Linked DNA regions of Rattus norvegicus. The protein of the gene in region 1 interacts with the protein of each later gene in a pairwise test. Links are inferred from orthologs where the notes say so. Each region holds a gene or a part of one and is shown in the gene's direction. Other genes may lie near its edges.

Evidence for each region.
Region 2: the proteins of Klhl40 (region 1) and Spmip4 interact in a two-hybrid assay, tested with the Homo sapiens proteins (2 studies listed by BioGRID and IntAct). The two-hybrid records come from large-scale screens. The link is inferred for Rattus norvegicus from reciprocal best matches to the Homo sapiens genes KLHL40 and SPMIP4.

Annotation. Positions count from the first base shown.
Region 1 is NC_086026.1:130,317,530-130,321,844, forward strand, and holds the start of Klhl40 (kelch-like protein 40), read left to right. Parts: upstream 1-1,263; 5' UTR 1,264-1,349; coding exon 1,350-2,501; intron 2,502-3,281; coding exon 3,282-3,442; intron 3,443-3,740; coding exon 3,741-3,848; intron 3,849-3,949; coding exon 3,950-4,135; intron 4,136-4,315. UniProt on the Homo sapiens protein: Substrate-specific adapter of a BCR (BTB-CUL3-RBX1) E3 ubiquitin ligase complex that acts as a key regulator of skeletal muscle development.
Region 2 is NC_086022.1:80,994,804-80,998,618, reverse strand, and holds part of Spmip4 (sperm-associated microtubule inner protein 4), read left to right. Parts: intron 1-156; coding exon 157-331; exon of another isoform or gene 332-609; coding exon 610-701; exon of another isoform or gene 702-2,704; intron 2,705-3,596; coding exon 3,597-3,815. UniProt on the Homo sapiens protein: Microtubule inner protein (MIP) part of the dynein-decorated doublet microtubules (DMTs) in flagellum axoneme. May serve to reinforce and thus stabilize the microtubule structure in the sperm flagella.

The DNA of each region.
Region 1 (4,315 bases):
GTACCACATGTAGTAGCCGTGTGGACCCAGCGAATTGCTGGTAATGTTTCCGAGGAATGTCCCACTGTCCAGAACTGTCATGGAAACCCTCCCAGCCCGCCCTAAGCTAGCCCTTGAAGTTGCAGAAAGGTGGGCAGCATACCTCTGTCCAGCTACATGCCCCTCTAGGACTGAGTGACCTGACCGTCACTACTCAGGAGGGACAGGCAGTAATGTTTCTGGAATCACAGGAGGGATGTGTGACTCAGCCCTCCCCCCAGGTCTTTTCTCCTATACCCCCACAAGCCCAAGGTTATAAACAAGTGACTCAGAGGCATGGTTGGGGAGCGCTCCATTACACCTCCTACCAGTGTCCCAGGGCTAAATTTAACCCACAGCTGCAGCTTTTGGCGCTTGGAGAATTCGTTAATCTTGGAGGCTGAAGCCCATGTGTAAATTTGGGGGATGGACAGGAGTCCAGAGCAAAGTGGGGATTGAGATTGGGTATCCTGGCTCAACTTCTCAACTCCTCAAATCACAGACGACAGCTACGGGGCCCCCAAGGCCAGGGAGAAACATGGTAAATCTCACACAGATTGAGGACAATGGGACAGAGTTATTGAGCAGTAATCAGACTCTTGGAAGTTCCACCATTTGGACACTAAAATTCAGAATGCTATTAGAATATTAAAATTTAGGTCTATCCTCACCCCCACTCCCACCCCAATAGTAGAATCCTAGGAAATTAATTTTCTAGCAGGCTTGACACCTTTGAGTCCACCCTGCAGCTACCCCAGGGTCTCTTGCCCTTAGCAGAGCTGAGCTGAGACCCTTGGATTCTGGCTCCTCTCCCTCCTTGAATGGGAAAGGAAACTGAGGCCCAACAGAGAAACACCTACCCTTACTGAGCTTGGGCAGAGGAAACTCCTTCCCATTTTGGGTCTCTAAACAGAGACTGCCAAGGACAAAGGCATGTTCACCAAGCAGGAAACCAAACATACTGTAACCAGGGGTGGCTACAGTCCCCTTCGTGGGTAGCCACATTTCTGGACTAAGGAATCCAGAGACAAAGCTTTCCTGTGTGCTGGGCTAAGAGACCTTCCAGTTGTGGAAAGGTCCAGACACACCCCACCCTCGCCCCATGATCCCCTATCTCTGACTCAAGGCTGCTCAGGGAGAAAGCCTCTGCTCAGCTGTCCCCTGTGAGTCATTTGCAGGAGGCCAGGCGGCTCCTCTTACAGGGTCCAGGCATCCTCTATATATAGCCCAGAGAAGACAGCTGCACAGTCAGTGCACTGCCCCACAGGAGAGCAGAGGTGTGCAGGGCAGCCCTTGACAAACAGACTTGCTGAGTTCCAGAGAGCCGCACCATGACGCTGGGCTTGGAGCAGGCGGAGGAGCAGCGTCTGTACCAGCAGACGCTCCTGCAGGATGGCCTCAAGGACATGCTGGACCACGGCAAGTTCCTGGACTGCGTAGTGCGTGTGGGTGAGCGCGAGTTCCCGTGCCACCGCCTGGTGCTGGCTGCCTGCAGCCCCTACTTCCGTGCGCGTTTCCTGGCTGAGCCAGATGGCGCGGGAGAGCTACGCCTGGAGGAGGTGTCGCCTGATGTAGTGTCCCAGGTGCTGCACTACCTGTACACATCGGAGATCGCGCTGGACGAGGCAAGCGTTCAGGACCTGTTTGCCGCGGCGCATCGATTCCAGATCCCGTCCATCTTCACCATCTGCGTGTCGTTCCTGCAGAAGCGCCTGTGCTTGGCTAATTGCCTGGCTGTCTTCCGCCTCGGCCTCCTGCTGGACTGTGCGCGTCTAGCTGTGGCCGCGCGCGACTTCATCTGCGCACGTTTCCCGCTGGTGGCACGCGACAACGACTTCCTGGGACTCTCAGCTGATGAGCTGATCGCCATCATCTCCAGCGATGGCCTCAACGTGGAGAAGGAGGAGGCAGTGTTCGAGGCTGTGATGCGCTGGGCCAGCAGCGGCGATGCCGATGTGCAGGCCGAGCACCAGCGTGCGTTGCCCACGGTCTTCGAGAGCATTCGCTGCCGCCTGCTGCCTCGTGCTTTCCTGGAGAGCCGCGTGGAGCGCCACCCACTTGTGCGCTCCCAGCCTGAGCTGTTGCGCAAGGTACAGATGGTGAAGGACGCACACGAGGGCCGCCTCACTACGCTGCGCAAGAAAAAGAAGGAGAAGGGTGAGCAGACAGCTCGGACCAAGGAGGCCAACCAGGGCACAGAAGACACCAAGGCTGAGGATGATGAGGAACGAGTGCTGCCCGGGATACTCAATGATACTCTGCGCTTCGGCATGTTCCTGCAGGATCTCATCTTCATGATCAGCGAGGAGGGCGCTGTGGCGTACGACCCAGCTGCCAACGAGTGCTACTGTGCATCCCTGTCCACCCAGATCCCCAAAAACCATGTCAGTCTCGTGACCAAGGAGAACCAAGTCTTCGTGGCCGGTGGCCTCTTCTACAACGAGGACAACAAGGAAGACCCTATGAGTGCTTACTTCCTGCAGGTGCCTGGCCTGCCTTGGGAGGGAGGGACTAGTGCTGGGTTCTGGGAAGGGCCTGCGTCTACTTGGGGGTCTGTCATTGGATCTAGGACCTTTGATTGGCAGCCAGTTGCTTGAAGGGGAAAGAGTTACAGCCAGTTTCCAAAGAGGCCCAGCGGAGGGGTTGGAGGGTCAGAGACAAGTGCAAAGAATCAATAAACAGGGCTTTGGCAGAAGTGCCAGGACCGGGTGGGGAACAGATTATCACACAGAGAGCACCTTGCTTTCTCCTTTCCAGGGCAGGAAACTGAGTCTCAGCAGGGGCTGGGAGGCAGGTGAGCCAGTCCAGGTTGAGGATGCCACTGTGAGAGCTCAGAGGCAAGGAGAATCTACAGCCTGACCTGTGGTTTTGAGCCTTGTCAGCTGGGTGAAATCCAGAGATGTGAAGGGGGAGGGGAGGGAGTTAACACTGTTGGTAACCCAGACAGACAACCCTGTCACGATGGCCAGGTGAGCTGGTATAGGCAGCCAGGGGCTGATAAGCAGCTGGGTGCTAAGGTCAAGTCCACAGGCCCCACAGCTGGAGGAGGTGAGGGGCAGCTCTCCCAGGCCGTCTGGGAGAAGTTTCTGAAGTTAAATGGTATCAAGTGTCTATCCATACCATGCAGCTACTGGACAACTCTCTGAGGTGGGCCCCTTGTACTTATAACCACTGGGTTAGGCAGACACAGATGGTGGGATGGAAGGCTATAGATTTTAAGGGGTGGGGGAAAGGGCTGACCCAAAGATACTGCCCGCCCACAGTTTGACCACTTGGACTCTGAGTGGCTGGGGATGCCGCCTCTCCCCTCACCTCGCTGCCTCTTCGGCCTGGGGGAGGCTCTTAATGCCATCTACGTGGTCGGCGGCCGGGAGCTCAAGGACAGCGAAGACAGCCTGGACTCAGTCCTGTGCTACGACAGGCTGTGAGTGTGTGTGCAGGGGTTGGGGCCACCTTGGGGGACAGGATGGTCTGGGGCAGAGGCCATAGGGTGGGGCTAGGACCACAGTAGCAGCCAGGAGGCCTGCACAGGTGCACGGCCATCGGGTGAAGACCTGAAAATAGTCCTTGAGCAGAGGAGTAGGTGGGTTGGTTCGAAGGCCCAAGAGCTCAGGGGAGGGGAATGTACCCAACGCAGTCTGGGTGTGTGTCGTGGGTGTGAATTCGGAGAGCCAGACTCCACAGGAGCTTAAGCTGCACTCCGGGCTCTCTCGTTCCTCCAGGTCATTCAAATGGGGTGAGTCAGACCCGCTGCCCTATGCGGTTTACGGCCATTCCGTGCTTTCACACATGGACCTTGTCTATGTCATTGGCGGCAAAGGCAAAGACAGGTGAGGTTTAGCCTGGTGGCGAGGAGGTTCTGTGTGGCTGAGGGGCAGACAGTTGTCCCCCACCCCAGCCTCTGTCTTCACTCACCCCATCTACCCCACAGGAAATGTCTGAACAAGATGTGTGTCTACGACCCCAAGAAGTTTGAGTGGAAGGAGCTAGCACCCATGAAGACAGCCCGCTCACTCTTTGGGGCCACCGTCCATGATGGCCGCATCTTTGTGGCTGCAGGGGTGACAGACACAGGGCTTACCAGCTCCACAGAGGTGTACAGCATCGCAGACAACAAGTACGATCTCCGCCCCCAACCCTGTGGCGGTGTACCTATGTCAGCCCTGTTTGCCCTGCTGAGGGTCACAGGCCTACGTCCCCATGTTGATTTGGGACATTGGCATAGAAATAGCTCCCCTAGTCCTCCAAGGCTTTCCTGCAGGAGAATCTGCAGAAAGGCTCCCAGGGTGGGGTCTGG
Region 2 (3,815 bases), on another chromosome or scaffold:
CTGTGATAAAATGTGGTTATAGTTACAGCCACCAGGCCTGGCTTGAACATTGTAATTAATGAAGAAAATGACCTCAACTGCTGCTTGCTGGACAGTGAAGCAGTCCTTACTCAGGTAGATACACTTGTAACAGCAATCTTTATGTTCCTATTCTAGTTTCCTAAATGTGTTGAGAAAAACAAGCCAGTATTCTACCCCAAGCCTCCTAAAACCTTTGCTCCTAACTCATCTGTGACTCCGTGGGATACTATGACCTCTGCAAAGGATGCCAATATACAGAGAAATCTTGAGCGTTCTCACTGGCTCACTTCATACACTCATGATTTTACAGGTATGAGTTCACAGCAGTACAAATAATGGAAACAGAAGGGGAACACTCAGCAAATGCTGTCTGCCGCAAGCTTCTGTTTCCTGACGTTCTTCCATGCTCTCAGCAAATCAGTGGGAGAGCTCAGTTTCTTAAGTGGGTGACTGGGAGGTAGGGCTGGCTTACATTTTATTGGTTCTAATTTATACGATAAAGTGGGCAGGTTTTCCTATTTACAGAGTAATTTAATTATCATTTTTCACTTATCTCTACCAAAATAATAAGACAATGTTTCCATTAAGGTCTAGGTCCTATGAGCCCCCTTGAGCTGGATGATTACCGTGAGAAGGAGCTAGCAGAACTAACTGGACAGATAGGATTTGACCCACAGCCTGTAAGTAATTGCAGTCAACTCTCAGTTATTTGGGGGAGATTATCCAGGTATCGTCTCCTTGCTCTTCCCATGTTTTGTGTCTTGTGCATTGGTGGCCACCTAAGCAAAAGGACAACTTAGTGGGTTTTCAAAGATAATTGAATTTACTGGAACTGATTCAGATATCCTTGCCACTATTTGGAAAAAGAAAACTTTTTCACAGTATTATTCGTTAAACATATTTTCTGTCATGCTACTGTTGATAAAATAATTCACAAAAGAATTTGCTTACAACTTAGCTAGTAACTTCATGATTTCTTTTCAATTCTGGATCTCTGCAAACTTGTGTATCTTACCATTACCATTACTTTTGAAAAAATGACTGACTTCTTCCTAATAATCACAATAATTGAGAGTTGGCTGAATTACAATCAAAAGCCAATTAAGTTTTTTGCCTATATCAATGGACAATTGATTATATAAATGGCTTGAAAGAAATTATCAAGCCCTGTAATAAACTATTTAATCTGTTAGACCAATTATATAAAGAATGTGAAATGACCTAATATTCATGTGTTGGTTTACTGAAAGCCTAAATTATATTCTCTATAAATATAAATTTTGAAAACGTAATTTTCAAAGCTATAAATTGTGGAAATATATATAACTATAAGCATACAAAATATGGATAATTTTAAGATCACAACAAGCACTTTAATGTTATATTAGCTTCAGCATTGTTAAGCGGATTCCAAATCAAAAACCTGGATTGGGTCCAGAAACTGCCCTTCATCAGTCACCAAGGACCTTTTGATTGTTTTGATTCTGTACTTGCAATGGGCACTCTCTGTTGGATTAGTTATATGCTTCGACACTGATGTGTGCTCAGTATGCATGCCTAAGTTCAGGAGAGCATGTGTTACTGAAGATAAAAGTCCCTGTGAAGCTTTGTAAAGCATGAGATGCAAGTCCTGAACTAGAGATGTTCAGTTGGTAGTGTGCTACCTTAGCAGGCATGACATCCTGGTTTGATTGCTCAGCACTTCGTAAACCAGGCATGGTGGGGCACAGCTATGATTCCTGCACTTGAAACTTGGAAGTAATTGGTTCAAGAGTTAAAGGTCATCCTTAGCTGCATATCAAGTTCAAAGCCAGCCTGTGATATATCATAAAAAAGGAAGTACTAAAAGCTCTTGCTTACACAGCTGATACTATTACAGTCTGATATCCTATTTTTTTTAATGACAAATTAGTGAAACATGTCAGGAAGCTGGGGTCTTTGCCTCATATTCACCAAAGCTTGATTAGCTAAAGGTTATAACAATTACTGATCAGTATGGAGATTTCTCCAATGAATCACTCAGAAGGATCATTCTCCAGGACGATCCTCCAAAGTCCCTTACTCTTTAAGTCTGTGCTACTGTTGCTATGTTATCACTGCTCATTTTTCCCCAAACATGGGGTGTCATGTAGCCTAGGCTAGCCTCAGACTTTCTGTGTAGCCAAGGATGACTTTGAACTCCCAATCCTGTCTCAATTTCCCTAGTGCTTGGGTTACAGGCTTCTGCCATAAATTGTGCCCAGTTTAATGAAGCACTGCCAACTGAACCCAAGCTTCTGAGTAAATAATATCCTGACGAATAAACTACATCCCTACCCACCCCAAGACACACACTCATAATTATTACCTTCCCTGATGTGGACATATGTATACTTCTTTTTGATGTTTTATTTAGCATATTATAAACATTTTCAAACATGCAGAAATAATTTTCATTTAAGACCTGTCTACTCACCAGCTAGATTCTGCTATCAATGCTTATTCAGTCTTTTGCATAATTACTCCAACCACCCATCAATAATTTTATTATTTTTACACATTTTAAACTATAGAGCTTAGTATATACTTTATCCCTTAAGATTTGACATGCATACCATTTACCAGAGTTAGAATTTTGGCTTTCTGTCCTTCATTCATTGTGAAGTATGCCTTCATTAAAACTGTACAAATTTTAAATGTGCATCTGTCAAAACAAAAGCATACAGCTTTTCATTCAAGCCTCTGCCACAAAATAGAACACATGCCACCTCTTCCTTCTTCCCCTGCAGACATAGCTCCAGCAATGATATCCTGAATGTGCTTCCTATCTTTGGAGTTTCCAAGTTTGACTGAATCCACGCTTTTAAAACATCCCAAAAGCTCAGACAGGGCAGTGGGTATACCTTGGTGGCAGAGCATGTATTCAACATGTGCGAGGCCCTGTGCTCAGTCCCGAAAACTAGTAAACAGACACAGACTCAACATAGTGCTTCTCCAAGCATTTAGCATGGCACCAGCCTTAGCTGCACCCAAAACATTTGTTAAAATGCACGCTCTTTCGTTGGGAAGAGAGCTCACAGTGCAGGAGTTTGTTCCCTCCCAAAATAAGGGATCTCAGACCCCACTGTAGACTTCACAAGTCCTGGTCTTGGAACTAAAGTTAGGAACTCCACTTTCTGCCACCTCTGAGGTGATTGTGATTCAGCTGAGGCCTGTGATGATTTAAATAACTGCATAAGATGGATAGTCAGCACAATCATGGTTTCATAAGGTTTTGTCCAGTGAGTCCCTTTGTATCTTTGAAATTTTGAGAGCTAAGAATTTCCACACTTGAAGAAAAACTTGTCTTTAGCCAAATAAAACCTATATATTTTCCATTTTACCTAAAGCCAGTAAAAGAGAAGTATGTATTTATTTGGGCCCAACTTCATGTCTTCAAATAAGTACAGAAGTATCTTAGTGTGTGCACTTCCCTCACTTCTCCTGTTTACTAAGATAGTGAAAATGAGTATGAGATTAGCCTGCTGGTAGCTACATCGTTATAATATTACATTTATTAATTAGTTTATTTTCCCCCTTTTATTCCACTGGTACAGCAAGAAAAATTCCATCCTTCCTTAAAACCTCCTAGACCTTTGGATGGTAGAATTGCCCGACTTATTCAGAACCAACGACCTCTGGAGGCTACGGTGCAAATACCACCTTCCTGTCCAGACTGTACCCCAAGAGTTTTGTGTGCTTTTCATACATTCATACCCAGTTCTGCAGAAATGATGGCAATGAATGATCACCTCCTGTCTGGACTAACCCATAAA